Linked DNA regions of Callithrix jacchus. The protein of the gene in region 1 purifies or fractionates together with the protein of each later gene. This does not show direct contact. Links are inferred from orthologs where the notes say so. Each region holds a gene or a part of one and is shown in the gene's direction. Other genes may lie near its edges.

Region 1 (4,061 bases):
GATGACAGATCTTTGACCAAATTATAAAGACTTGGAATCCAAAGGGATGGAATTAAAGAGTTTGAGAAAGGAATTAAAAGAAATACAGAATGTGGGTAGGAATTCCTTATGTCTACAGTAAGACAAAATGTAGGGGGAAAGTTTGTATTTCTTTGTTATGTGGATATTAAGCTTGTTAGAAAACAGGATTATAATTATTCCACATTCTCTTTTGATCTTTGTAAATATGCATGTATTTTATGTGGTAGTAATTACTGTATTTATTTAACTTTGGTTAATACAGTATGTAGCAGCTCTCCTATAATACTGGAATTATTAATACTTGTAAGTATTAGTAAAATGAATAGCTTTATAACTTTAATCTACCTTTTTTCCTGGGGGACTATTGTATTCAAATCACACTCAGATTATTTATCTAAAGTGTTTTTATTCTGTATATCCCCATGTTTTTTTGAACCCCATATTGGTTCAAAACTTGCTAGTAGAAAAACCACATTTCTGTTTATAGTATTTCATATTTGAATTGAATGAGATTAAGGTTTTGTACATGAGATTTGAAAGGAAATTTTATTAGAACTGGTGAGAATGTGCAAGTACTGTTTCTTTGAGGTGAGTAGAAATATTGTAAGAAAAATTTTTCTGCCTCAAAAAATGGTTTCGGCTGGGCACAGTGGCTCACACCTATAATCAACACTTTGGGAGGTTAAGGAGGGCGGATCACCTGAGGTCAAGAGTTGGAGACCAGGCCAGCCAACAGGGTGAAACCCTATCTCTACTAAAAACACAAAAATTAGTGGGGCGTGGTGGTACATGCCTGTAATCCCAGCTACTCAAGAGGCTGAGGCAGGAGAATTGCTTGAATCTGGGAGGCAGAGGTTGCAGTGAATGGAGATTGTGCCATTGCTCTCCAGCCTGGGTGACAGAGCAAGACTCCATCTCAAAAAAGAAAAAAAATGGTTTCTTCTTGTATTGGGGATATTCACAGAAAAAAAAATGTTTCTTAATTAAGACAAAACTGAAGTGAATTACACATCTATCTAGCCTGCAGAAAAGTAAATAGGAAACAATACAGTCTGGCCCGAGTCATCCAGAACAAAGCTCAGTGTGGACGGAATGACTGCCCTGGGGAGGTGAAGGGAACTGGGGCCCCATCTTGTTATTCTCCTTCCTGGTGAGAAGATGGTCGCTGAGGGAAGAGATATTCTTGGTTCTCTAGCCCTGATTTCACTTTGTAATCATCAAGGTGAACTTAAACACATACATGCTCCGGTGACCCCACCTCAGGCTCAGGAATCAGAGCACCCAGAAACAGGCATGTGAGGATCAAACCTGTTCGGAAGTTTCCATATGCTCAGAAGTGGTGCAGGCCAACTAGCCGCCTGGGGCCTGAGGTGCCATGTGCCACATTAACTGTTGTTACCCCCATGCCAGCTCTGACCAGACTTAGCCATAATAAATAATGTATTTGTAGATTCTGTAAGTACTGGGGCGGGTGGCGTGCCTTTTTGTTATGATTACAGCTATGTAAACAGTCGGGTTTTTTAAAGAACCAATCTGTTCATACTGAGGAATTTATGTGCTCCTTTTGTTTGCAGGCTGTGGAAAATCTTTGTTCGCACAAAGTCTCCCCCATGCTCTACAAGCAGCTGCGTCAGGCCTGTGAAGACCACGTCCAGGCACAGATCCTTCCGTTTAGAGAATATCCTTTTTTTGGTTCATAAAGTTTCTGTTCATTATCTAAGTCTTTTAAAACTGAACATTACGATAAATAACTAATGTGTATCCTTAAGATTATAACAAAAGCTTTAAAGTGCTCTTTTATTTCATGACTCAGTATGGTAAGTTTTTAAGCAAAATTTGCCATTTAAAGTATTTTGTTGATCTGAATTAAAGGGAAACCACGTCTACTTATTGGATATGATTGAAGTATTTAGGAAAAGTTCTGAAAAATGTCTTAAAGTTTGAGTATCCTTTATTCTAATAAATACCATCTGCATTAGCCTTCTGTGACATGTCACAAATTCCCACTACTTGGTGACATGTGGAGACAGCCTCTTATCAGCTCATGGTTGTGTCTCTTAGAAGGCTGGGCAGGACTCAGTGGATTCTGTGCTCAGTCTCATGGGCAGAGTCAAGGTGTCAACCAGGCTGGGGCCTCACCCGAGGTGAGGTCCTTCGCTAGCACGGGCAGGCAGTTGGCAGAAGCCAGTTCCTGTGGCTGTGGGACTGAGGGCCCTGCTTTCCTTCCTGTGTTACGTGTGGTCACGTGCAGCTCCTTGCCTCTATTCTCACAGCACAACTCTTTTGCTTCTAGTCCTGCAGGAGAATCTGCCACTCTGGCCTGCTTAGATAGGGCCTTATATGATGTAAACTGTAACTGAGTCAATGAATGATGACCCTGTGTATCCACAGCCTCATTCACAGTTGCATGCGAGGCATCATCCATGTAGGGACAGGGCAGGGGCATCTCGGGATTCTGCTGCCGCACCAGCTGTGACTCAGTTGTCTACAGAGGGGTCTCTGGGCTCCTTGGCATCCTATAGAAAATCCTTTAATCTGGACTCAGTCTCATTTCCCAGCCTCCTCCCATTACTATAGCTATCCATGTGTTTCATTGGGTAGGAATTAGAAAGTAGAGTTTATAGTTGCAGAAAGTCTACTTGTGATTGGAGTTGTCTAGGCTTCCGTTTCTTTATATGTAAAATTAGGTAGTTGGTATTTGCTTCTAGTTCAAGGAAACTTCTGCTCCCCCATCTCCTTGATCTTGGGAAACTAAACCATCTGAGTTCCTTGGAAGGACCCTTGGGGAAGCTGCAGCAGCTGGTGTTGCTGGGGTTGAAGCACATGGCAGGGAAGCTGAAATGCAAGGTGAGAGGGCTCTGTTTAGGCAGTCTCCACAGCGCTCCCCACAGATGGTGAGTGAAGTCAGCGTCAGTTCTTTTGTGCTGGCTTCTGTAAATACACCTCTGCAGTGTTTTCCAGCAAAGCCTTTTCCTAAAGATCACGAGTTTGTTCAAGAGATCAGTGACCACACACAACCTTCTGGAACCTGGCCAAAGTGCATCTTATCTCAGGAGGCACCTGTGAGGGTGCACAGAAGCAGGCCCCGCCCCAGGGCCACAGCTCAGCAGTGCGCTTCCAGGAACCCATGTTTCGTATGTTTCGATCCAAAAAGTGGCCTGACTCCTAGGCTTGGGGGAAGTCTTTAGCAGATGCCCAAGCCTTCTCCAAAGACTTAGGCATTGGTGAGTCAGTAGGTGATAATTGTTCCTATTCTAGTTGCTGTCTCAATTTACTTGAAAACTGCCATTTGATTACCTGAACAAATTATCCTTCTGCCAGTTACTGCTACCCTGTGGGTTGTCATCAGTTCACTCACTGCACAAGCGCTTGCTTTCTGCCTATGGCACTGGCACCACAAAATGGAAGTGACCACCATGCCTGATATCTACCCTCCAAGAAGTTACAGGCCTCTGGGAGAGGCAGGAGAATTAACTATGTTTTCCTGGTGCAATGGCAAAACCATGATTACAAAAATTATTTATTTCATTAAAGGCAAAAGAAGAAAACACCACCATACCAAATGGCCTTATTAGTCATGAGACATCTTGAGTTGAGAACTGTTGAGTCAGGCCAGCAGTGGTGGCGTGTGAGGCAGCTGGGGCAGAGCCTCCAGGAGAAGACGCCCTTGAAGGGTGGGGAGGGTCCGCCCACCTGTAGATGTGGCACCGATGCAGAGCGTGGAGGGTGCCTTGGAAATCCTCAGCAGCACAACTAGCACTCCAGAGAGCTGGCGGCCCTTTGGCTGTGATGCTGAGGTGCAGATTGGATTAGAATCTTTGTGGATAGTGTCAAGGAGTTGGGCTCCAGTCTCAATATCCCAGCATTCTCACAGGTTTTGAAGCAAGAAACCAGAATTAGATTGTTCATGGAGGTCACTCTGGCAGAATGATAAGATAAGTTTACATAGAGACCAGTACACCACAGCCTTTCATTGGGTAGGCACATGTTTTTAAGTATCGGTCATGTGCTGAGTATAATACCAGGCCCTGGGAAAATAA
Region 2 (4,061 bases), about 150 Mb from region 1:
GGCAGAGCTGGCTCTGGCTCGCTCTGCTCTCTTTGCTGAGTTTTGTAGCTCCTCACTGGGGGCGAGGCCTGTGAGCTGTTAGCATTCTGGAAGGCAGCTTGGTGCCTGCAGCCTGTGCATGGAGGCACCGGAGCCCACCCTTGAGGCGCAGACCGCTGGGTGCCTTCAAGCTTGGCTGTGAATGTGATTGCATCAGTGGGTGCATTTTAGGATTTGGCTGTGCTCCCAAACTTCTGCACCCTGAAGCCATCTTCTGTCATTTGGCATGTTAGCTTACTGTCAGGAAACCTTTTGCTGTTCTTTTTATAATATGTACAGGGCTTTATTTTATTTTTTTTTTTTGAGACAGTTCACTCTTATTGCCCAGGCTGGAGTGCAATGGCGCGATCTCAGCCCACCGCACCTCCACCTCCCGGTTCAAGTAATTCTCCTATCTCAGCCTCCTGGGATTACAGGCACGTGCCACCACATCTGGCTAATTTTTTTTTTTTGTATTTTTACTAGAGTCGGGGTTTCACCTTATTGGCCAGGCTGGTCTCAAGCTCCTGACCTTGTGATTCTCCTGCCTCAGCCTCCCAAAGTGCTGGGATTATAGGCATGAACCATCACGCCCAGCCGTGTCCAGGGCTCTTTGAAGAAAATTGCATTTTGTTTGCACAAACTGCTGCATTCCTACAGACTTCTGGACAACAAAATAGGAAGCACCCTTAAGGGTGGGGTCTTTGATGATTACAAAAGTGACGAGAGCAGGTGTCTCAGCAGAGCAGCTAGAAAGTATTAGCAAGGACTTTGGGTAATTAATAGGGTTCTCAATTTGGAATGGTTTGTTTGCTACAGGGCTCAATTGGTAGTCAAATGTTTTCCTTTAAATCCTTTTTCCTGAAAATCCATTTTTAAAAATATGGTTTGTTTCTTGGCCTTGGCCCCCTGTTCTGCATCTTGCTCGGCAGACTGCCTCTGTCACTGGGACTCTCCATCCACATCCCCTGTGTGACCAGCGTCAGAGCCATGGCAACGGAGGAGAAGAAGCCTGAGACTGAGGCCGCCAGAGCACAGCCGACCCCTTCGTCTTCTGCCACTCAGAGCAAGGTGCATGCCCAGGAGCCATGTGGGTGTTTTGGGGGGCAAATAACGCTTAGAGATTCTTGGAAACCTTTCACGCTCCTAAGTCTAGCCTTCCCTACTCAGTTAAAGGTCACTGCTAGTTTCTATTTCCTGACCACATACCTGACAAATGCTTGTGACCTGCTGTTTCAGGGATCCCAAATCTGTCACCTGGAGGAGGGAGGCCTTATCAAAAATACATACTTGGTCCTGATTGTAAGAGTCTCTGTAAGACCCAGAAAACATCTCTTCATAATTTCCCCCACCCCGGCTTTGATCTGATGCGCAGGCAGAGCTGCATACCCTCTTGTAGACCTTTAGCCAAGGGAGCAGGGCCTCTGTTTCAGGGCAGGTGGGGGTGGGGTGCACTGGACCAAGGTCGGGGCTGGAGGGGCCTCCTGTGCTGTAGCAGGATCAGAGGTGGGTTTGAGGTGGGGTCCTGCCTTGAGGGGACCTCAGACGTTTCTGGCTTGGCTGGTGCTGTTGGAGGTCTTAGGGGGAAATAGTGGGCTCAGATTTAGATCTGTTCCATTTGAAAAGTGACGCCACAAAGAAATTGATGGAAGGCACTGGTCATGTGGTTTCGGAGCTATAAAGATCTGAGCTGAATCCAAACTGGTCACGAGTGGAATGCACAGTGGTGGTGACTTTGTGCTAACTGATCTTTCCCGCAGCCTACACCCGTGAAGCCAAACTATGCTCTCAAGTTTACACTTGCTGGCCATACCAAAGCGGTGTCCTCAGTGAAATTCAGCCCGAATGGAGAGTGGCTGGCGAGTTCATGTACGTAGCACTGAGGCCCTTAGCTGCTGGAAGAGGCGGTCTGAGCTGCAGACCAGAAACCATCGAGGGGGTGGCTTGCTTCCTCACCTCCTGCTCCAGGCTGCAGCGGGTGATGTGTCTCCTCCTGGAACTGTGACCTCAGTGCTGGTTGAAATTGCCTGTGGGCCTGGGGAGGGAGGAGAAGGGGGCTGGTCATCTCCGGCACGTGGGTGCGCTGAATGGGTTCTGAGCCGTGGGGTTCATGCTGATCACCAGGGGATCATGTGGGAAAAGCCCAGGCTTTGGACTATGGATGACAGGACAACTGTGGCCTGCTCCTAGCCTCAGATCCTTTTGTTTTCTTTCAGCTGCTGACAAACTCATTAAAATTTGGGGCGCATATGATGGGAAATTTGAGAAAACCATATCTGGTCACAAGCTGGTAAGTTTCAGCCCTGTGCGATGAAGTTGACTATTGAACAGTAGCTCCAGTGAGCAAGTGGTCAGGGCCATTTTGAGAACGGTGGGTTCAGGTTTAAATTTTCCCCCCTTTTTTCCTCTCTTTTTTTTTTGAGATGGAGTCTTGCTCTGTTGCCAGGCTGGAGTGTAGTGGCGGCATGATCTCAGCTCACTGCAGTCTCTACCTTCTGCGTTCAAGCGATTCTCCTGCTTCAGCCTCCTGAGTGGCTGGGACTACAGGCGTGCACCACCACACCCAGCCAATTTTTGTATTTTTAGTTGAGACAGGGTTTCACCATGTTGGCCAGGATGGTCTCGATCTCTTGACCTCATGATCCACCCTCCTCAGCCTCCCAAATATTCTGTTTAACGCCAGATACACTTGACTTCCCCAGATGAGTGTCTGTGAGGCTGGCAGAGCTGCAGAAAGCCTGCTGTTTTCCTCCCCTGCAGTGTGTCTTGTAAGGTTAACGCTAGTAAGAGGATTTCCTGCGGGCAATGGGGATGTTTGGGATTTTGCCCACAGGTCCTATTCTGTCCTTTTATTGTCCAAGTTGCTCTGTCCAAGTTACTGACCCTGTTTTTTCTCCCCAAGGGAATATCCGATGTAGCCTGGTCGTCAGATTCTAACCTTCTTGTTTCCGCCTCAGATGACAAAACCCTGAAGATATGGGACGTGAGCTCGGTAAGCAACACTCAGTGCTCCTCTCTAGGGAAGACTGGCTGCAGGGGCACGGGGCATCGGGGCAGGGTGGGTGGGCAGAGACTGAGTGGACTTGGGGATCAGCCAATCACTGGTGGGTGGGCGGGCATGCTCTGAGCTGTCAGGCATTGATGACTGTGATCTGGTGCTGTTGTTTCCAGAAAGATCCACTGGAATAATCCCAGTAATACTCTGTTTTAGGGAAAGTGTCTAAAAACCCTGAAGGGACACAGTAATTATGTCTTTTGCTGTAACTTCAATCCCCAGTCCAACCTTATTGTCTCAGGATCCGTAAGTGTGGCCTGGTGTCTTCCCTGGGGGCTGTTGTGACCGATGTGGGAGGGCTGTTGAATTTGGTTGTAGCAACCGTGGAGAAGGCAGGTAGGCCCTGCGTCTCTTCTGTGCTGCTTGTGGGGAGGAGGGGCTGGGAGGTCTTGGGTTCCGGGGAGGTTTGTCCCCTCTCTTCCCTGTAAAAGTCACTCGAATCTCTTCCTTTTGTTCAGTTTGATGAAAGTGTGAGGATATGGGATGTGAAAACAGGGAAGTGCCTCAAGACTTTGCCTGCTCACTCGGATCCAGTCTCGGCTGTAAGTTGCTCTGACACAGATGGGGTGGTGTTGGCAGTGCGTCCCCCTGATACAGATGTGGCCAGCTGTCTCCCTGGTGGACATAAGCCTGGGTGTGGCCTGTGCCTAACTGATTCCTGCTGTTATGCCGAAGTCTAAAGCAATCAGGCTGGAGGCTGGGACCTGAGAGATGAGTCCTGTGTGCAGCGGAGGGGTGGCGAGGGGGTGGTGAGGTGTCAGTGGAGTGCCCTGTGGTGAGTACCATGGGGCCCTTCGAGCAGGCTGTGGGGGTGGTGGCCACAAGCATTCAGGGGGCAGTGTACCTTGAACGGATGCATGGGACAAGAAGGGTACAGGCAGGGAAGGGCACTGGGAGTGGGAGCAGGGGTGGAGTGTGGGTTTTGAGTGGAATTAGCTTTGACTGCATGGGCAGGGATGACCCAGTCCTGTGGGAACTGTTGGAAGCT
Region 3 (4,523 bases), on another chromosome or scaffold:
TTACAGGCATGTGCTACCATGCCCAGCTAATTTTTTTTTTGTATTTTTAGTAGAGATGGGGTTTTTTTTTTGCGGGGGGGGAGGAAGGCAGGAAGGAAGGGAAGAAGGACGGTAGGGAGGAAGGAAGGGATGAAGGAAGGAAGGAAGGGAGGAAGCGGGGAGGGAGGGAGGGAGGGAAGGGAAGGGAGATGGGGTTTCACCATGTTGACCAGGATGGTCTCGATCTCTTGACCTCGTGATCCACCCACCTCGGCCTCCCAAAGTGCTGGGATTACAGGCTTGAGCCACCATGACCGGCAAGAGAAAGCATCTATCCATTGTGACTTAGTAGAAATGAAGTAGGCAACATTGTTATTTTTAATAAGGAAAAGATGATTAAAATATTAAATAGTAAGTTAATTAAAGACATAGTAGCTGGCTCCATTTATTCCTCATTCTTACAAGTGATTGAAAAAATATTTTAATAATACAAATGAAAATATCTACCTGGAAATGTGACACTGAAATTAAACACAATGAAGTGAATGGAATATAGTATTCTACTTTGTTGAATTAGAAATTGCAGTTAATTATTAAACAGCATCCAAGAGTGTTACCAAATCCTGTCACTTCTGCCAAAAGAGGATGATTGGAAAATGAAGGCATCAAAAGTCATATTACATGAGGAATTATTAATTCAATAAATACTTGAGGTACTATGTAGTAGGCAGTCCCTGTTCTCTGTGCTGGGGATACAGCTGTGTGCAAAATAGACTGAAAGAAAAAAAACGTTTTCTGTCTTCTTAGAGATTATATTCTATGGGAGGAGTCAAGCAAAAATCAAAATAAGTAAAATAGTGTGTTGGTCAGGACTGTTACAGAAAAAAAATGAGGAAAGGGGAAAGGAGTTTTACATGAGTAGATTTCTTCTGTGTTGTCTTGAATTGGCGTGGGTCAGGAATAGGAGTTTTAGACTTACTCGATTTTGCTCCCAACCAATTGTATGTTCTTGGGTAAGTTGCTCACCATCTCTTTATTTTCACATTTATAAAATTAATAGATCATAGCAATAGCTATTTTTTGTTACTGCTGTCATTTAGTAGACACGCTGCATACATCATCTAATTTACTCATAACAATCTTATGAAGTAAACAACGTCCCCATTTGACACACGAGCAAACAGATTAGATTAGGCAACTCTTTTTGAGGACATTCTCCTCTATTCGGTACTGGTTCTCACTGTGTTGGTCCTGAGTTAGGTCATATGGGTCAGGGTGGTCAGACGTCTTGCAGAGTTTCCTGCAATCCTGTCAGATAGCTTGAGAACTCGGGGATCTTTGAAGGTTGGTTGCACACATTTACCGTGCCTATCGCTGGGTAAGACGACCTGGCAGTAGAGGGCGAAGGATGGAGGAGAAGGCGGCAGAAGGCAGGGCACAGAGACTACTACTCCCAGAATTCCACGGGCTCCTTCCCGCGGAAAGTGTCGGTCATATGGGCGGGGACGCTGGACGACATTCGGGCCGCGGCGGCCGCTGGGTGCAGCCGGGCGGTGTGGAGTGGAAAGAGCACTCGAACGGCTCCCCTGATACTAACAGTTCTACGATTTAAAACCCCGCCAGAATTTGTAAGTAAACAAAATGACTGTACAACTTTTCTATGTTTTAGTATTGGAACTGATATACTGAATTTTTCAAAAGAGCTTTCAGAAACGGTCCCTCCCCACCCCCACCTCCCTACTGCCCAAACGATATTTTTATTTTTATTGTTTTTGAGACCGGTACTTGCCCTGTCACCCAGGCTAGAATACGGTGTCGCGATCATAGCTCACTGCAGCCCCGTTCTCCTGGGCTCAAGCGATCCTCCCGCCTCAGCCTCCCGAATAGCTGGGACTACAGGCCCGCAACACCATGCCCCGCTAATTACTTTATTTTTTATTTTTGTAGAGACAAGATCTCACTATATTGCCCAGGCTGGTCTCGAATGCCTGGCTTCAAGTGATTCTCCCGCCTCGGCCTCCCAAAGTGGTGAGATTACAGGCTTGAGCCACCACACCTGGCCTCACTTGAACAGTAAACGAGGTAGGTTGGGGTTATATTTTCGTTTCGGGATAAAAAGAAACAGAATCTTATAAATATTAAACGGGTTAAGATGTGAGTAAATTTTTAGCTTTAAACTTTAAGGTGAGAAGCAGAATTATTGTAGGGTTCGAAATGTAAGTGGGAAATTTTCCTACTAGTGTAGGCGGCGATTACTCCATGCCCGGCAGGCCTAGGATCTCAGCATTCATCAACTTAATCCTGAAAAGATAGTAATTAAAAAAAACATGGTGCTAAAAAGGACAAACTTGTAGTTTTATTAAGACCTCCTACCATTTTGCTTATATATTATGTATGTACCATACTCTCAGTTGTATTTCATACCGGATAAAAAAGTTTGCACCTTTTCCTTCTTTTAACAAAGTTCTTAGTACTCTCTACTTCATGAGTAATGCGTGATTATCAGACTTGATACTGTTACACAGATCCAGAAATGAAGTTACACAGATTAAACATATTGGTTTTGTTTTACCTGTCTTTAGTTTTTAAAACATTTTATTTTGGATCTGTTTGAAAGATCCTTTCTTTGTTTTAAGCTGTGGCAGCTATCCATGTTTTTTGAGTTTTATTTTTTCAGCACAAGATGAGTATAAAGGGGCCAGTGGAAACATTTAATAAAAAAAAAAAAAAGAACTCGAAGTAGAGTAACTATAGATGTTCTTGGAAGCCTTTGTGTGGATTAGAACAGTTTGAAAAACCAACATTTGCTGTGAGAACTGAGTGCCTCTCTTCAGTAATGTTTATTATGCTGAACGTGCAGTCCACAACTTGATTACCTGTTTTTCTGCAGGTTTATTACGTAACCTTGGGTGACTCATTTAAGCACTATTTTATCTAGTTTCTTTCTAATGTAGAGGTAATGTTAGCTTGAGAACTTCAATAATTAACAAAGAATTTAACTTCAGAATTTAGCCAATTATTTGAGGATTATTGGGTATTTTAATAATGCGTTGTATCTTGTATATAACTTATTTTTGCCTAAGAAGTCATTTCTGTATTCCATTCATTTCCATGAACTCAGAAGTCAAAACTGTATTCCAGGAAAATCCACACTTCTTTGAAGTGCTACTTGAATTTCCTGAAGGAAAGTTTGCTTCAAGAAGCCTTGTCTACTTTCTCACTTTGAGGTTGTTCACTAAGCCAACTATGAAGGCACATTAACCTGGAGGTTCTACAACCTCCAAAAAAAAATGGAAAGAATGAAGAATTGGCTGTTTTTATTTACCATTTAGAATTTTAATTGTGTTAAAGTTTCATTAATATTTCTGCATCATATGAACCACTGGATTAAACTGTGTCCCACAAGAAGGAATTTAGTAGGTGATCATACATTATCATAAATTTTGCACAGAAATCAAGCATTTGGGAATAAGAAAGGGCATCCCTAACATCAATAATGAGCATAGACTTTAGAGTCATAGCTGGATTTGAATTCCTGTTTTGTCACTGTGTGGGCTGTTTTCCTCTTTACTAATATTTAAAGGAGTTGGCACATGATTTTTTTGTGTGTGTGCCATGGCTCAGGTATGATCTGTGCACATAATTTTGGTAATTGAAATTTCTGGGAAGAAAATTTATCTGTAATTCTACTACCTCAACAAATCATATTGTTTTGGTTTTTAGAGATTTTTCCTTCAGCCCTTGACCATGAGTATATATCATGTAAATAAATGTAATGACATTTTTGCAAAAAGTCAAATTTTAAAACATTGGTTTCTTCTGGGGTTTTGTTTTAATTACACAAATGAAGCTGCCTGGTTTTGCCTTTAATAGTTCAAATAAGCCAGGTGTTATGTATGGCTCATTCCTGTAATCCCAGCACTTTGGGAGGCTGAGGTTGGTGGATCACTTGAGGTCAGAATTTGAGATCAGCCTGGCCAACATGGTGAAACTCCATCTCTACTAAAAATACAAAAAAGTTAGTTGGGTGTGGTGGTGGGGGCCTGTACTCCCAGCTTCTCGGCAGGCTTGAGGCACAAGAATCATTTGAACCTGGGAGGTGGAGGTTGCAGTGAGCTAAGATAGCACCATTGCACTCCAGTCTGTGCAACAGAGGGAGACCTTCTCAAAAACAAAAGAAAAAACAAAGAAAACCAAGGGCAGAGAAGGGGAGAGAGAGAAAAAAAAAACAACACCAAGTCAGAAGCTGGAGCAGTCATTTAGGCCTAGGCAGTCTGACCTTCGAGGACAGTTCTATGCGGGGTTCTATGTTGGTAGATTTACTTTATGGATGTTAGGTCCTATTTATAGGCAGGACTTGATCCTGGAGGCTTACTTATAAGTTCTTTGTAGAAAAGTAACATTATTTACAGTTTTTGTCTGTTTGTTTTTTGAGACAGGATCTCTCTCTTACCCAGGCTGGAGTGCAGTGGCACAATCACAGCTCACTGTAGCCTTGACCTCCCAGTCTCAAGTGATCCTCCCACCTCAGCCTTCCAAGTAGC
Region 4 (4,061 bases), on another chromosome or scaffold:
ACCGGGGAAGCTTCTCCCTTGGAGAACAGTCTCGAGTGATATCTCAGTGAGTATGGGGCTTGGTGAAGAGACTCTAAGGGCCAGATAAGTCTTATCTCCTAAAGTTTGAAGGGGTTGGTGTTAAAAGAGCCTTGAAGATATTAAAGTTTAGGTTAAATGGGGTTGAAACTTTGAGAGTAAACAAACTGGAAAAGTATAGAAATGTAAAGGATGCCGGGCGCGGTGGCTCACGCCTATAATCCCAGCACTTTGGGAGGCCGAGGTGGGTGGATCACGAGGTCAAGAGATCGAGACCATCCTGGTCAGCAAGGTGAAACCCCGTCTCTACTAAAAATACAAAAATTAGCTTGGCATGGTGGTGCATGCCTGTAGTCCCAGCTACTTGGGAGGCTGAGGCAGGAGAATTGCCTGAACCCAGGAGGCGGAGGTTGCGGTGAGCCGAGATCACGCCATTGCACTCCAGCCTGGGTAACGAGCGAAACTCCGTCTCAGAAAAAAAAAGAAATTTAAAGGATGGTGGAATGGTTGAAAGACAGGGGATTGCACTCACAACCAAAAGAGAATGATTTTGTACTGATATTCTAGCTCTGTTAGGATTCTGCAAATTGGGATACTCCTTATCCTGAGCACCCCTTATCCTTACTTTCTCTCTCCTTCCCTAGCTTCTTGCCCAATGATCTGGGCTTCACTGATAGCTACTCTCAGAAGGCTTTCTGTGGCATCTACAGCAAAGATGGTCAAATATTCATGTCTGCTTGCCAAGGTACCAGACCCTCGTCCTGTCAACTGTCTTTTCCTGGAACATGGAATGTACCCTCTGACTGAGGCTAGAAAGCCACAGACAGGGAGCTCAGACCTGGCTTAGGGATGCATACCCAGAGCATGTTTCCCATTATTAAGCGAAGATTCCATAGGTATACTGAGTGGCAGACCTCTAATCTAGGAAAGTTATAAGGAAAGTGTTCCACAATTCTGCCTGATCTCTACTTTTACAGACCAGACAATCCGACTGTATGACTGCCAGTATGGCCGTTTCCATAAATTCAAGAGCATCAAGGCCCGCGATGTAGGCTGGAGCATCTTGGATGTGGCCTTTACCCCTGATGGGAACCACTTCCTCTATTCCAGCTGGTCTGATTACAGTGAGTATGTACCAGGCCTCCACTGTCTCTCCACCCTGGGACCTGAGGTGCTCATCCCCTCTGAACCAGGATTCCTCACTTTATACAGGGAAGATCACTCCCAAAGTGCTCCAACATCCTTGTCCTTTGTTTGATCTCTTCCCTAGCTTCACATCCACTCTCCTTCCCCCATGCCTGAAAGATTCTTGTTTTTCTTGCTCTTTTAGTTCATATCTGCAATATCTATGGTGAGGGAGATACACACACTGCGCTGGATCTCAGGTACTGGCTTCCCTTTCTGGTCAGACTCATCAGAAACTTCTCAAGGGAAGATCTTCAGGAGCAAACCTTTGAGTTGGAAGTTCTGCTTAGGGGGAAATGTATGCTGGTGGGTCTGTGTGGATTCCTGGGAGGGAAGCAGCATCCTGTCAGCCAGAGGATTGGGTAAATGGTTGGTTGCAGGATTATTTCTGGGTTCTCACTGAGGATCTGCATGGTGGTGCATGTTAACCGGACTTCTTTTTTCCCCTGGGTATATGTCTTACAACCATTGTCAGATTCTATGTAGATTAGCAAAAGCTGAAGGGATGTCCACTTAATCCAGTTACTTCTTGCTTTCAGGCCAGATGAGCGTCGCTTTGCTGTCTTCTCCATTGCTGTCTCCTCAGATGGACGAGAAGTACTAGGAGGGTGAGTGTTTGTGGGATATGTTTCCCTTAATTAACAAGATGGGGGTTTCCCCAGAGATGAGCTCTGCTGTACACAGATGGCACCGGCAGCTGCAGAGAAGAACCAGATTTTCTCCAAGGTCAGGATTTACAAGTTGGTTCACCTCTTGCTCTCCATTTCCCCTGCACAAGAGCCTCCTTAAAAACACAGCTAACTCTTCCCCCATGACCCAGAGCAGGATTTCTCAGTGGGACTCTCTAGAGTACATACCACATTGATCCTCAAGATTGTTGCTCCAGAACCCTCCTTTATTGCTTCCCTTTCAGGGCCAATGATGGCTGCCTGTATGTCTTTGACCGAGAGCAGAACCAGCGCACCCTTCAGGTATGGCTCCTGAGACAGAGCCTCTGCTTCCTGGTCTTTCGCTTATTATAAGACCTAGAAAGAGATCTTATATTCTGGCCTCCTTTTCACCTAGATTGAGTCCCATGAGGATGATGTGAATGCAGTGGCCTTTGCTGATATAAGCTCACAAATCCTGTTCTCTGGGGGTGATGATGCCATCTGCAAAGTGTGGGATCGACGCACCATGCGAGAGGATGACCCCAAGCCTGTGGGTGCACTCGCTGGACACCAGGATGGCATCACCTTCATTGACAGCAAGGTGGGCCAGGAAACAGGACTGCACAGCCAGGCTACTAAGGTTCTGGTTGCTCAGGAGGGCATGAAAATGGACTGGTGTGGGAATTTGACAGTTGCTTATTTTTTTTTTTTGAGACGGAGTTTCGCTCTTGTTACCCAGGCTGGAGTGTAATGGCACGATCTCGGCTCACTGCAACCTCCGCCTCCTGGGTTCAGGCAATTCTCCTGCCTCGGCCTCCTGAGTAGCTGGGATTACAGGCACCCGCCACCATGCCCAGCTAATTTTTTTGTATTTTTAGTAGAGACGGGGTTTCACCTTGTTGACCAGGATGGTCTCAATTTCTTGACCTCGTGATCTACCTGCCTTGGCCTCCCAAAGTGCTGGGATTACAGGCTTGAACCACCGTGCCTGGCGACAGTTCCTTATTAGCCAAGGTTTATAAGGGTTGGAGTTCAGGGAAGGGGCTCAATCTAGGGAACATGAATTCCATCTGGACTCACCAGTCCTCAAGGAGTAGGGTGGGGCTTTCTGTACAATAAAAATGGAAGACCAGCCAGGTAGGTGGCTCATACCGGTAATCCTATCACTTTGGGAGGCAAAGGTGGGAAGATCGCTTGAGCTCAAGAGTTTGAGAACAGCCTGGGAAACCTAATGAGCCTTTGTCTCTATTTTTTTTTTTATTAAATATTTTTTAAAAAGGAAAATGGAAGACAGTCTGATCCAGGATAGAATAGGAAAGCCAGCCAGTAACCTGGACACGGAAAGGAAAACCCAGCCAGGTGGTAAGATCTGAGGCAGAACAATGAAAATGAGTTCACCTGGATAAAGAAAGAGGCAAGCAAAGCCAAAGGCTGGAGTTCTGCTCAACTAGAGAATGAGAACTAGACTGACAGGCGCTGACATTTGTAAGCTCTGATGCTTCACTATCCACATTTGGATTCATAGGGTGATGCCCGGTATCTCATCTCCAACTCCAAAGACCAGACCATCAAGCTCTGGGATATCCGACGCTTTTCCACGCGGGAAGGCATGGAAGCCTCACGCCAGGCTGCCACACAGCAAAACTGGGACTATCGCTGGCAGCAAGTGCCCAAAAAAGGTGAGACTGGAAGTACAGGCACAGTGGGTTTGTCTGTAGCCTGGGAACCCTGGAGCCCTCCCTGTCAGCCCTCTTTGCCAGGCATTAACGCTTTATTTGCTAAATCATGGATGGGATGGCCAGAGGTTCCTAGGATTGGGGCCTGGGTGGGGGTCACTCAGAATCAACCAATACAAAAGTATTTTTTTGTTGTTGTTGTTAATCAATGAGAGCTTTGTTGTGTTGCTCAGGTTGGCCTTGAACTCATGGCCTCGCCTCCTCAAGTGCCAGGACAACTGGCCGGAGCCACTGTGGCCCCCAATACAAAAGTATTTGAGTATGATTAGCGAGCAGGGCCATATTGGAGACTGTCCACTGACGATTAGGTGGAGAAAGAGCCACCACTTGGGCTGGGCGTGGTGGCTCACGCCTGTAATCCAAGCACTTTGGAGGCCAAGGTGGGCGGATCACTTCAGGTCAGGAGTTCAAGACCAGCTTGACCAACATGGTGAAACCCCGTCTTTAAAAAAAAAAATTTAAAAAGCCACCA
Region 5 (3,267 bases), on another chromosome or scaffold:
CGCCAGGACCTCAGTGCCATTGCCCGAACCCTGCAGGAGTGGTGAGAACCATATCCTGGTGCTGTCCCCTTCCTTCTCACTCTGAGAAAGTGAAAGGTGCTTCAGGGTGAGAGAGGGCAAGAGCTGGGCTGGTCTGCAGAGGTAGAACTGAGGGGGATGAAGGAAAATGAGTTCAAAGGCTTCTGGGGAATGCAGGAGTAGGGAGGTCCTGGGAGGCGGCAGAAGTCAGTGTCCTTGATATAGTAATTCAGGGATGGAAAGGGAGTGAGTGGTACACTTGAGGGGATCCTAACCACTAAGGTTGTTGCCTTAGGCTAGATTCCAGCAGTTGGTCTACAATTACCATTGTCCACAGGCCATGGGCCTTTTCCTCCTCTCTTTTATTTTGTGTCTATCTAACTTCAGGGTTTCTGTATTCATTAAGTCACCTCTTTTTCTCTTTAACATCTCCTACCCTATTTGTTTTCAGTTCCTACCACCATCTTGCACATCACTCCAGGCACTTCCTTATCCCTCTCTGACCATACTGAGGGTCCATCTCACTGCTAGGATCATTGTCACAGATGGTTTCTAGGTGCCCTGGTGAGGGTTCCCAACTCAGACTCAAAATGCCAGAAGCTGTGTTCTGGCTCCGTTGCCCAGGTTGGAGTGCAGCAGCATGATCTTGACTCACTGCAGCCTCCACCTCCTGGACTCAAGCCATCCTTCCACCTCAGCCTCTTGAGTAGCTTGGGACTACAGGCTTGTGCCACTGCATCTGGCTAGTTTTTGTATTTTTTTTGTAGAGATGGAGTTTTGCCATATTGCTCAGGCTGGTCTTGAACTCCTGAGTTTAAGCAGTCTGCCCGTCTCGGCCTTCCAAAATGCTGGGATTACGGGGGTGAGCCACTGCGCCCTGCATCTAGGGTTCTTTTTGAATCTGTTTTCTGTGAGTCTATGATCGTAGATCTTGTCTGCTGAAACTTTTCTTCTCCCCTGACTCCCGCAGGTGTGTGGGCTGTGAGGTTGTGCTGTCAGGCATTGAGGAGCAGGTGAGCCGTGCCAACCAGCACAAGGAGCAGCAGCTGGGCCTGAAGCAGCAGATTGAGAGTGAGGTGAGCAGTCAGGGAGCAGGTGGACCCAGGCTCCTCCAGCCTGGGCCACTTCTCCTTTGCAGAGAGGATTTGGACAGTGGTTGTAGCAGACAACAAAATAAGCAGGGTCTGGAAGTTTCTGGAACCTTCCTTGCTATCCCCATTCCTTTCATCCTGGTAGGTTGCCAACCTTAAAAAAACCATTAAAGTTACAACAGCAGCAGCAGCCGCAGCCACATCTCAGGACCCTGAGCAACATCTGACTGAGCTGAGGGAACCAGCTCCTGGCACCAACCAGCGCCAGCCCAGCAAGAAAGCCTCAAAGGGCAAGGGGTGAGCCAGGGTAGCAGGTACTGCTCACTTCTGGAGTGCCCTGCTTTTACCCCAGGGACCTGACTGTCTTCACTTCCTTCAGTTATTTGCATGGGAGTAGGGAGTCGGGGGAGCCTTCAGAGGGGATTCCCTGCATTCTCTCTCTCTTTCTCTTCTTGCCAGGCTCCGAGGGAGCGCCAAGATTTGGTCCAAGTCGAATTGAAGGGACTGTCGTTTCCTCCCTGGGGATGTGGGGTCCCAGCTGCCTGTCTGCCTCTTAGGAGTCCTCAGAGAGCCTTCCTGTGCCCCTGGCCAGCTGATAATCCTAGGTTCATGACCCATCACCTCCCCAACCCCAAACATAGATCACACCTTCTTCTAGGGAGGAGGCAAGTGCAGGTCATGTTTTTGTTGGTACTTTTTGTTTTTGTGACCTCCTGTGTTCCGTTGCTTCCTGCTGCCATGCTCTCTCCCCTATTTCTCCGACATTTCCTTAAGAGCTCAACATCTGTCCCTGTTCATGACATGTCATCGAGTAGGTGGGTAACCTTGATGGGGTTTGCTCTGTCTCAAGCATAACCCACAGGCGTTTTTTTTCTCCCACCCCATCCCTGCATGCCTGATCGCAAATTCCTACACCTTACCCACCACCCCTGCATTGAGCAGCCTCTGAAGAGCCATAGGGCCCCCACCTTTACTCGCATTCTGAGAATTCTGGGGCCCAGTGTGGCATTCCCAGAGTCACTGGACACGTTCATCCGAAAATCCTGTCACGCTACAGTCATTTATTTTTCTCTCTCTGCCCTTTGGGTCCTGGGAATGCTGCGGCTTCAGAACCCAGAGCCTAAGAATGGCAGCTATTTCTTAACATGTTGAGAGATGGTTCCTTCTTGGCCCTGGCCATCTCGGGAAGCTTGATGGCAGTCCTGGAAGGGTTTAATCTCCTTTTGTGAGTTTGGTGGGGAAGGGAAGGGTATATAGATTGTATTTAAAAAAAAAAAAGGTATATATGCATATATCTATATATAACATGACACAGAAATAAATCTATGAAAAGTCTATCTACAAACTACCCTGAACTGGGTATCTTCTGTCTTTGATATTTGCGGATGGGAAGAAGACTCATTCCCAGTTTACTCTAAAGCACAGTGCTGGAAGATGAAGAGAACTGGATACTATTTGCTGCGTCTCTGCCTGAGGCCTAGATCCTGGGCTGTATGACTTCGGACACGTTGCTTCATATCTCAGCATCCATAGTCAGAAGTAATGACTATGGCCAGGCACAGTGGCTCACGCCTGTAATCCCAACACTTTTGGAGGCCAAGACGGGTAGATCACTTGAGGTCAGGAGTTTGAGATCAGCTTGGCCAACATGGTGAAACCCCGTCTCTACTAAAAATACAAAAAAATTTGCTGGGCATAGTAGTGCATACCTGTAATCCCAGCTACTAGGGAGGCTGAGGCAGGAGAATCACTTGAACCTGGAGGTGGAGGTTGCAGTGAGCTGAGATCATGCACTCCAGCCTGAGTGACAGAGTGAGACTCCATCTCAAAAAAAAAAAAAAAAACAGTAGTAATGGATACTTTCTGGGCATAAATACCTGACAGGCACTGGACGTGGAAACGATGGCCACTGTTTCTGCTCTCCAGGAGCTTGAACCTATATCCTTCTACCTCATAGAATTAGAAGGGAAAGAGTTGATAATGAACTTGAATTTTCACATCAGAACCACACAGAAGAACTGTCAGATCTGTGGCAAGCAGAAGCCATTGGACTCCTGCCCTCTGTCCACTAGAGCTCTCCGGGAATTGTGCAGGGAGGATTGGGATCCTTGGCCTAAAGTGTTGCTATGGACTCCCTGGAATTGGAAAGCCCTGGTGT
Region 6 (4,061 bases), on another chromosome or scaffold:
CCAGTAGTGTTCCAAAGAGTATAATTTGAGATTTTTTTTTTTTTTTGAGGCAGAGTCTTACTCTGTCACCCAGACTAGAATGCAGTGGCAGTATCTCCAGCTCACTGCAACCTCTGCCTCCCAGGTTCAAGCAATTCTTCTGCCTCAGCCTCCCGAGTAGCTGGGATTACAGGTACCTGCTGCCATGCCTGGCTAATTTTTGTATTTTTAGTAGAGATGGGGTTTCGCTATGTCAGCCTGATCTCAAGCTCCTGACCTCAAGTGGTCCACCCATCTCGGCCTCACAGAGTGCTGGGATTACAGCCATGAGCCACTGCGCTGGGCCTGAGAACTGTTGTTCTGATAAATTCGTAAGTATCCTTTGCCTAGTAATGCTCATAAAACCCCTGTCTCCCTAACAGTGTTATGGAATGTCTATGGTGACTGTGATAATTATGCCACACTGAAGGGACACAGTGGAGCAGTGATGGAACTGCATTACAACACAGATGGCAGGTGAGTATTCTGCATAATGGAATGACAGCTGCTTCTCGTACTAATTCTTCTTGGTGTCCTTTCACCTTTATTCTCAGGAAATCTTGCTATCAAAATCTACTAATTTTGGGTAGCTACTTTTATTATTCGATTCATCACTGTCATCCCAAGTGAGGTGTTTATTGTCTGTGTATGCAAATATAAAGAGATCATATCTGTCATTTCTACAACCCAGACAAACTTGTGTTTTTTTTTTTTAAGACATAAAATGTAATTTTTTTTTTTTTAAGATGGGGTTTCACCGTGATGGCCAGGCTGGTCTTGAACTTCTGACCTCAGGTGATCCACCCACCTCGGCCTCCCAAAATGCTAGGATGCGTGAGCCATCGTGCCCGGCCAAAATGTGATTTTTATATGTAGGCTGGAGTGCAGTGACATGAACGTGACTCACTGCAGCCTCAACCTCCTGGACTCAAGGGATCCTCCCACCTCAGCCTTCTAAATAGCTGGGACTGCAAGCCCACACCTCCATGCCCAGCTAATTTTTAAAAATCATTTGTAGGGACATAGTCTCGCTATATTGCTCCTGAGCTCAAGCAGTCCGCCTGCCTCAGCCTCCGAATAAAGCTGTGATTACAGGCATTAACCACCAAGTGTGGCCTGAAATTATTTTTATTATAAAAATCATTTCTTTTGAGTAACCCAAAAAAGCAGAAAGATGAAAAAATAGTCCATGTTTCTGTTACTCCAAAGATAATCACTGTTAATTTTATACTTTTTTCTAATGCCTTTTTTCTACTCAGAACTGTTTAGTTTTTACATATTTATTAGAACTATGTATACAGTCTTGTTTCTGCCTTTTTCTCTTTAACATTGCTCAGCCAACATCTGATGTCATAAACATTTTAATGACTATATTATTTTAGAATATATTATAGATAGCAAAGAAACCAAGCTATACAAAATTAATTCAGTTGTTAGATATCCTGGTAAACATTCATTGTTTTACTTTTTTTTTTTTTTTTTTTTTTTTGAGATGGGGTTCACTCCTGTTGCCCAGGCTGGAATGCAGTGGCACAATCTCAGCTCACCACAACCTCTGCCTCTCAGGTTCAAGCGATTCTCCTACCTCAGCCTCCCAAGTAGCTGATTACAGGCACACGCCACCATGCCTGGCTAATTTGTATTTTTAGTAGAGATGGGGTTTCTCCATGTTGGTCAGGCTGGTCTCGAAATCCCGACCTCAGGTGATCTGCCTGCCTCGGCCTCCCAAAGTGCTAGGATTACAGGCGCGAGCCACCACGCCCAACTTATTTTACATTTCTGACCTCTAAAACCCAATTGATGGGTGCGCCATCAGTTGGCACATAGCATTGTATACATTTTAAATAAAGAAAGCATTAGAAAGCTCGGCACAGTGGCATTCATTTATAATCCCAGCTATTTGGGAGGCTGAAGCAGGAGGATTCCTGGAGCCCAAGAGTTCAAAACCATTCTGGGCAACACAGTGAGACTCCAGCTCAAAAAAATGAAAAAAGAAAGCATTATAAGGTCAGTTATTACTTAGAAATCATCCTCAGAGGCTGGGTGCAGTTGCTCATGCCTGTAACCCTAGCACTTTGGGAGACTGAGACAGGAAGATTGCTTAATCCCAGAAGTTGAAGACTAGCCTGGACAACATAGTGAGACCTTGCCCCTACAAATGATTTTTTAAAAGTAGCTGGGCATGGTGGCACAGGCCTGTGGTCCTAGCTACTCAAGAGGGACCACAGCCTGAGGTGGGAGGATCACTTGAGCCCAGGAGATCAAGGCTTCAGTGAGCCATGATTCCAGCCTGAGCGACAAAACAAGATCTCATCTGAAAAAAAACTGTAAGAAAGAAATTGTCCTCAGAGACAAAAGAAAAAGTTTGATAAAGAGAAAGGATTGGAGTTACTCAGTTGTCAGGTCCAGAGTTGGCATAGTCTGTCTTAGCTCTGCAGCACCAGGGAGTGATTAAGCATTTCCAAGTGAGAGGGTGTCTTATTTGTAAATCGTTACCGATCACAAAAGAGAAAAAGATAGAACAAAACCTATCACAAAAGAGAAAAGAACAAACTGCTATGTTAGATGTATGTCATGGGGACGCAAAGAAGGGGAAGTTTTAAAACTTCATAGGGGTAGATCTTATGTCTGGGCCTAGAGCACAAATAGGATTTTGGTGGGGTGAGGCATTCCAGCCTCATGGGGCAAACTCGCATAGCACAACAGGTCAGTGATCTTGAAGAGTTTGGCATCTTTTGGCAAGTACAAAAGATAGTTTGTCTTCACTTATTTCTTTTTTGTTTTTCCTCTTACTTTCTAGTATGCTCTTCTCAGCTTCCACAGATAAAACTGTGGCTGTGTGGGATAGCGAAACAGGTGAGAGGGTTAAAAGGCTAAAGGGACATACTTCCTTTGTGAATTCCTGTTATCCAGCCAGGAGAGGCCCTCAACTTGTCTGCACTGGCAGTGACGATGGCACAGTTAAGGTGGGTATTGTCTGTCTGTGTTGCAGTTTCTGAGGTGACGTAATGTGAACCTTATTTTGCCTCTCCACTTGTACTCTACCTTCCTCTGCACACTTAATTTTAGCAGTCATTTCCAATAACAGACACTTGAAATTTTTCCCCCATTTAAAATAAAACATTTAATATGTGTTTTAATTACCCTACAGAACAATAATAGGACCATAGAATAAATTGTTACTTGGAATAAAGTGGACCATGTAGATTTGATTCTTGGCTCAGCTGTCAATTGTGTGAGGTTGGGCAGTTCCTTTTCTGAGCCTGTTTTTTAATCTTTAGAACAGGGACAGTAACATGCACATCTTTCAAGGCTGTTATGAGTATCTCTACCAACAGGGAGGCAGCAAAACAAAAAAACAAAAAAACGGCTGTTTTGAGATTACAGACAATATATAAAAAGTTGAGTAAATGGTTTTAGTATAGCACAAGATGGGAACTTAAACATCATTTAATCACATCGTTTCCAGCCTATCTTTATATCATCATATGAAGAACCTGTTAAAAATACCCAAAGAATTTGGTTCAGTGGATCCGAAAAGGGAATCAGGACTTATTTCATGTGTCCTTCAAGTGATTCATTGTAGCCAGTCTGACATTCTGGGAGCCACTGATCTCATTGAGCATCCTCATTTTACAAATAAGGAAACTGAGGCCTAGAAATAACTCAGGCACACACAGACACAGTGCATCATAGTACCACATTGGATTCTTTCTTTCACATGAATTTTGGACTCCGGTTTATATTTTAATTATTAAACAGGGAGGGACTTCAAAAGAATACATCTGGGAAACACCCCATACTTACTGCTTTTTAAATGAATATGCTTTTTTTTTTTTTTTTTCTTTAAGACAGGGTCTCACTCTGTCACCCAGGCTGGAGTGCAGTGGCGCAGTCTTGGCTCACTGCAGCCTGCCTCCTGGGTGCAAGTGATTCCCCAGCATTAGCCTGTTGAGTAGCTGGGATTACAGGTTCCCATCACCACACCCGGATACTTTTTATATGTTTAGTAGAGACAGGGTTTCACCATGTTGGCCACACTG
Region 7 (4,061 bases), on another chromosome or scaffold:
CTTCCTGGGGTCTGATGGCCCCAAGTCTCCCTCATTTAAGCTACTCTACCTCAGGACAAGTGTTGCTCACCCCTCACCCCAAGTTCTGTCCCAGGTGTGGCCCCAAACACCACCTCGGTACAACATCTGACACAGGTGGAAGTTTTCAGTAGGTTCCGAAACTGGGAATAAAGGAGAAATAAGCTTAGAAATACCCCATCACAAAATGGTCTAGCACACAAAATCTGGTTTCTGAACCTGCCAACGTTGGCTGTCCTGTTCTGTTTTTGAAATGACTGACACAGTTTTTCATGTCCATAGTTTGCTTTCCAGTTTCTAAGTCACCAATATGTTTGACATAGAGGTGCCACACTAACGGGTTACCGCAGTATGTTTACTGGTAGAGATGCTTACAACTCATGTTGAGGCACTGGTGGTAGATGGAAACAAAATTGATTTGCTGAGGGGTACCACACATATGGCAAAATGTTCACAGCTGTTGGATCTTAAGTGGAGGTATGGGGATATTCATTGTATTCTTTCAACTTTTTTGTTTTTAAAAAAGTTAATAGTGAGGAAAATAAAATAGGAGGAAGGGTATGGCAATTAGGAAATAACTTAAACTTCTGAGAAAAGGAGGAATCTTCAAAATAGGATACTTTTAGAAAATCTTTTTTTTTCTGTTGAGAAAAGGATTACTCAATGCCATCTGTAAAATCTATCCTACCTTCTTTTTTCATTTTTATTTTTTTTGGAGACAGAGTCACCTAAGCTGGAGTGCAGTGGTGTGGTCTCGGCTCACTGCAACCTTCACTTCCTAGGTTCAAGATACTCTCCCGCCTTAGCCTTTCAAGTAGCTGGGACTATAGGTGTGTGCCGTCACACCCAGCTAATTTTTGTATTTTTAGTAGAAACGGGGTTTCACTGTGTTGGCTAGGCTGGTCTCGAACTCCTGACCTTGTTATCCACCCTCCTTTCCCCCTCCCCCGCAAAGTGCTAGGGTTGCAGACGTGAGCCACCACAGCCAGCCTATCCTACTTTCTTTAATCTTAGGTGCTACAAAACCATCTTCCATGAAATACAGAGTTGAAAATTAAAGCTGTATTCTAAGAAACTAGCCCTAGACTACCATATTTGTCTCCTTATGTCCTGCAGTAGGTATTTAGAAGTGCTTGTCTTTTGGAAGGAAGGAATGGGCAAGAGATGTTGGTAGAAGGATTATTAAAGGAGATCCCTGTAAGACTCTGGGGAGAGCTGTTGGGGAGGAAGATGTCAGAGGCTGGAAGAGACTTCCCAGGCCTTTCTGCAGCTCAGGGCTGGTTTTCTCTATTGTAGGTGTGACGGCTGTGAAGCAGTTCTGCTGGGCATCGAGCAGCAAGTTCTGAGAGCCAACCAGTACAAAGAGAACCACAACCGAACTCAGCAGCAGGTAGAAGCAGAGGTAAGGAAGGAAAGGAACGTTTGTTCCTCTCTCCAGGGCATGCCTGTTGATTCCTTTGCAGTGTTTATGTTTTTGTTTTGCGAATCTTGGTGTAAATGAAATAAGCAGTCACCAAGAAATGGGCCTGGGCTAGGTGCTGGGGTATAGGGATGAGTGTGACACAGCTCCTGCTCTTGGTGTTCTGTCTCTTCTGATTCCTGGTCAGCATAGGGTGATTGATCAGGCTTGGAGAACAGAGAATGTTGTAGTTTCATTACACATGTACTTTGCAGCTGTAGAGCAAAAGAAAATGAGTTTAGGGATGGATCTTAAAAATGGGTAAGATGGTGATAAGTTACCAGGTGGCATGGAGGGAGGGGTACAGCTGGTCAGGGCCATGTGGGGCTTCAAGGCCCTGGGAATGTTCTGCTGCTTAAGTTGCATGGTGGGCACATAGTGTTCATTTTATTCTTTTTATCTAAACTATACATATAATAAACTTGTGAAATGCATGACATGTTTCATACGGAAAGAAGAAAGGGATAAAATTTGACAGATGAGCTACAAGTGAAGTTAAAAGGATGTAAAATGAAGTTTTATTGACACCTGGTTGTTGAGGAAACTTTTAGTCTCTTGGACAGATGTAGGCCCCAGCCTTTGTGTTATGAGCATTTGTGTACTTGTAGTCTGATACATGACGTGACCTCACTTCAGAATTTATCTGGAGCCCTTAACATCAGAAGCACTGATCTTCCTTAGCATTGGAAGTTCTTTTCTATGGTGGATGGGATTTGAAGTGTTAATGATACTTAATGAATTTTGAAAATCAGGTGTCTAAGATTGTGGCAGAGTAGGGCCCAGAATTCTAGCTAAGAAGCATAAGAAATGCTTATGGAGGCCGGGCGAGGTGGCTCAAGCCTGTAATCCCAGCACTTTGGGAGGCCGAGGCGGGTGGATCACGAGGTCAACAGATCGAGACCATCCTGGTCAACATGGTGAAACCCCGTCTCTACTAAAAATTACAAAAAGTTAGCTGGGCACGGTGGCGCGTGCCTGTAATCCCAGCTACTCAGGAGGCTGAGGCAGGAGAATTGCCTGAACCCAGGGGGCGGAGGTTGCGGTGAGCCGAGATTGCGCCATTGCACTCCAGCCTGGGTAACAAGAGCGAAACTCCGTCTCAAAAAAAAAAAAAAAAGAAATGAGTAGATGGTGCCTTTCAAAGGGGGGATTTGTGAAATTTGGAGTGATTCCCTATACTATTATATGTACTCCTTGAAAATAAAACCTGTTTCCTATTTGTAAGATAAGCTTCTTATCCCATGCCTAACCCATAGTAGATACTCAAATGTTGAACTGAATATTTCTGGCACATCATAGAAGTGTGTGAGTGGTCTGCTGAACTCTGCTTTTCATGAACTTGAGCTAATTTTTTTGAATACACTCACACTGCCCTATATACATATACTCTGTGGATGTTCAATTCATAGACCATTTCCAGTCCTCCTTCTAGCCATGGAAGTATGAGCTGGGTACAGTGGCTCACACCTGTAATCCTAACACTTTCGAGAGCTGAGGAGGAAGGGGTTCGAGACGAGCCTGGGCAAGGAAGTACGCACTATAATTAACACTAGCCAAAAGCAAAGACAGTTAGGAAAATAAGCCTGCTGCTTTTCTAATAAGCTGTGCAACCACCTTCATGATAGTGGCCTCATCTCTAGCTTGGGATTGAGGTCTGAACAAAGTAGGAAGGGCTCACCACTCTCTCCTTTCATTAATTCTTCCCGATAAATTAAACTCTGGACAAAATGAGGTTGGGAGGCTAACCGCACCACCTGATCTTTGGCATTGAGGTCATTAACAAAGATGAATGATACTAGTTTTAGAATTTTGAACTATTCAAGTTTATTTACATGATAAATAGCATCAGACAAAAGAAAGCCAGGTGTCCACAGAGCTGTTGTAGACACCTGACTAAAGTCTGAGTTACACTGCGTAGTTACACAACAGTGTAGACTTTTTAAATTTTGGTTATTTAAACAGAGAGGGCGAGTGTGTGCACTAGCACACAGGGTTTTATTAAATTTGCCAGTGGTTGGAAGACACTAGCAGAGCCCGATGCTGCCAGCAGGTGGCAATAAGGATTTACATTTGAGAAAGAAATCTGAGGAAAAGGCCAAGGCCGCCTCCACCACCAATGTATTGATGTAATAGTCTTCTAGAAAATCTGGAACAGACCAATATGGTCTGTTCCCTGAGCATGGCCAAAGCTTAGAGCCTTGTCAGTTTTTCCATTCAGTAAATGCATGCTCTGGCTGCTAAGTGTTGGAGGCTGCTTGCCCCCTGCTTGAGGCACACAGAAGGTACTCACCAAATAGCTACTGGCTTGAAAGAAAAAGAAATCTACAACCAACCAAGGTGATTCTGTCATATTCTTTTTGTATTTATGAGTCTTTTACCATTGGCCTAACTTTTAAAAGCTATTTTGTCAACTGATTGGTGAGCTTTTCTTTATTTGTCCTTAAATTAGATTGCTTGTTTTCAGAGAGAAAAACATGATGTCCCCCTCCTGAATCTTATAAAAACAGCTTTCTTCTGGTGAGTTGTAGCTTTAAGAGCCCTCCTTCTTAATGAAGTCAGCCCTATCACAGACTGCCGAAGTGGA

What was found.
Region 2: the proteins of CUL4A (region 1) and WDR5 purify together in Homo sapiens (affinity purification with western blotting; 4 studies listed by BioGRID and IntAct, with this or other methods). This does not show direct contact. The link is inferred for Callithrix jacchus from reciprocal best matches to the Homo sapiens genes CUL4A and WDR5.
Region 3: the proteins of CUL4A (region 1) and torsin-1A-interacting protein 2 purify together in Homo sapiens (affinity purification with mass spectrometry; 4 studies listed by BioGRID, with this or other methods). This does not show direct contact. The link is inferred for Callithrix jacchus from reciprocal best matches to the Homo sapiens genes CUL4A and TOR1AIP2.
Region 4: the proteins of CUL4A (region 1) and DCAF11 purify together in Homo sapiens (affinity purification with mass spectrometry; 13 studies listed by BioGRID and IntAct, counting the BioPlex papers as one, with this or other methods). This does not show direct contact. The link is inferred for Callithrix jacchus from reciprocal best matches to the Homo sapiens genes CUL4A and DCAF11.
Region 5: the proteins of CUL4A (region 1) and COPS7A purify together in Homo sapiens (affinity purification with mass spectrometry; 8 studies listed by BioGRID and IntAct, with this or other methods). This does not show direct contact. The link is inferred for Callithrix jacchus from reciprocal best matches to the Homo sapiens genes CUL4A and COPS7A.
Region 6: the proteins of CUL4A (region 1) and SNRNP40 purify together in Homo sapiens (affinity purification with western blotting; 3 studies listed by BioGRID, with this or other methods). This does not show direct contact. The link is inferred for Callithrix jacchus from reciprocal best matches to the Homo sapiens genes CUL4A and SNRNP40.
Region 7: the proteins of CUL4A (region 1) and COPS7B purify together in Homo sapiens (affinity purification with mass spectrometry; 8 studies listed by BioGRID and IntAct, counting the BioPlex papers as one, with this or other methods). This does not show direct contact. The link is inferred for Callithrix jacchus from reciprocal best matches to the Homo sapiens genes CUL4A and COPS7B.

What each region holds. Positions count from the first base shown.
Region 1 is NC_133502.1:28,674,057-28,678,117, forward strand, and holds part of CUL4A (cullin-4A), read left to right. Parts: intron 1-1,595; coding exon 1,596-1,699; intron 1,700-4,061. UniProt on the Homo sapiens protein: Core component of multiple cullin-RING-based E3 ubiquitin-protein ligase complexes which mediate the ubiquitination of target proteins. As a scaffold protein may contribute to catalysis through positioning of the substrate and the ubiquitin-conjugating enzyme.
Region 2 is NC_133502.1:182,706,775-182,710,835, forward strand, and holds part of WDR5 (WD repeat-containing protein 5), read left to right. Parts: intron 1-950; 5' UTR 951-1,008; coding exon 1,009-1,089; intron 1,090-1,778; coding exon 1,779-1,887; intron 1,888-2,234; coding exon 2,235-2,308; intron 2,309-2,920; coding exon 2,921-3,010; intron 3,011-3,229; coding exon 3,230-3,319; intron 3,320-3,531; coding exon 3,532-3,615; intron 3,616-4,061.
Region 3 is NC_133519.1:23,492,712-23,497,234, forward strand, and holds the start of torsin-1A-interacting protein 2, read left to right. Parts: upstream 1-1,496; 5' UTR 1,497-1,607; intron 1,608-1,926; 5' UTR 1,927-2,061; intron 2,062-4,523. UniProt on the Homo sapiens protein: Required for endoplasmic reticulum integrity. Regulates the distribution of TOR1A between the endoplasmic reticulum and the nuclear envelope as well as induces TOR1A, TOR1B and TOR3A ATPase activity.
Region 4 is NC_133509.1:58,425,811-58,429,871, forward strand, and holds part of DCAF11 (DDB1- and CUL4-associated factor 11), read left to right. Parts: coding exon 1-46; intron 47-662; coding exon 663-763; intron 764-995; coding exon 996-1,142; intron 1,143-1,348; coding exon 1,349-1,403; intron 1,404-1,742; coding exon 1,743-1,811; intron 1,812-2,116; coding exon 2,117-2,174; intron 2,175-2,268; coding exon 2,269-2,454; intron 2,455-3,378; coding exon 3,379-3,532; intron 3,533-4,061. UniProt on the Homo sapiens protein: May function as a substrate receptor for CUL4-DDB1 E3 ubiquitin-protein ligase complex.
Region 5 is NC_133510.1:20,922,352-20,925,618, forward strand, and holds the end of COPS7A (COP9 signalosome complex subunit 7a), read left to right. Parts: coding exon 1-41; intron 42-988; coding exon 989-1,094; intron 1,095-1,254; coding exon 1,255-1,406; coding exon of another isoform or gene 1,407-1,410; exon of another isoform or gene 1,411-1,423; intron 1,424-1,568; coding exon 1,569-1,608; 3' UTR 1,609-2,454; downstream 2,455-3,267.
Region 6 is NC_133508.1:67,923,539-67,927,599, reverse strand, and holds part of SNRNP40 (U5 small nuclear ribonucleoprotein 40 kDa protein), read left to right. Parts: intron 1-401; coding exon 402-495; intron 496-2,818; coding exon 2,819-2,984; intron 2,985-4,061. UniProt on the Homo sapiens protein: Required for pre-mRNA splicing as component of the activated spliceosome. Component of the U5 small nuclear ribonucleoprotein (snRNP) complex and the U4/U6-U5 tri-snRNP complex, building blocks of the spliceosome.
Region 7 is NC_133507.1:153,252,570-153,256,630, forward strand, and holds part of COPS7B (COP9 signalosome complex subunit 7b), read left to right. Parts: intron 1-1,314; coding exon 1,315-1,420; intron 1,421-4,061. UniProt on the Homo sapiens protein: Component of the COP9 signalosome complex (CSN), a complex involved in various cellular and developmental processes.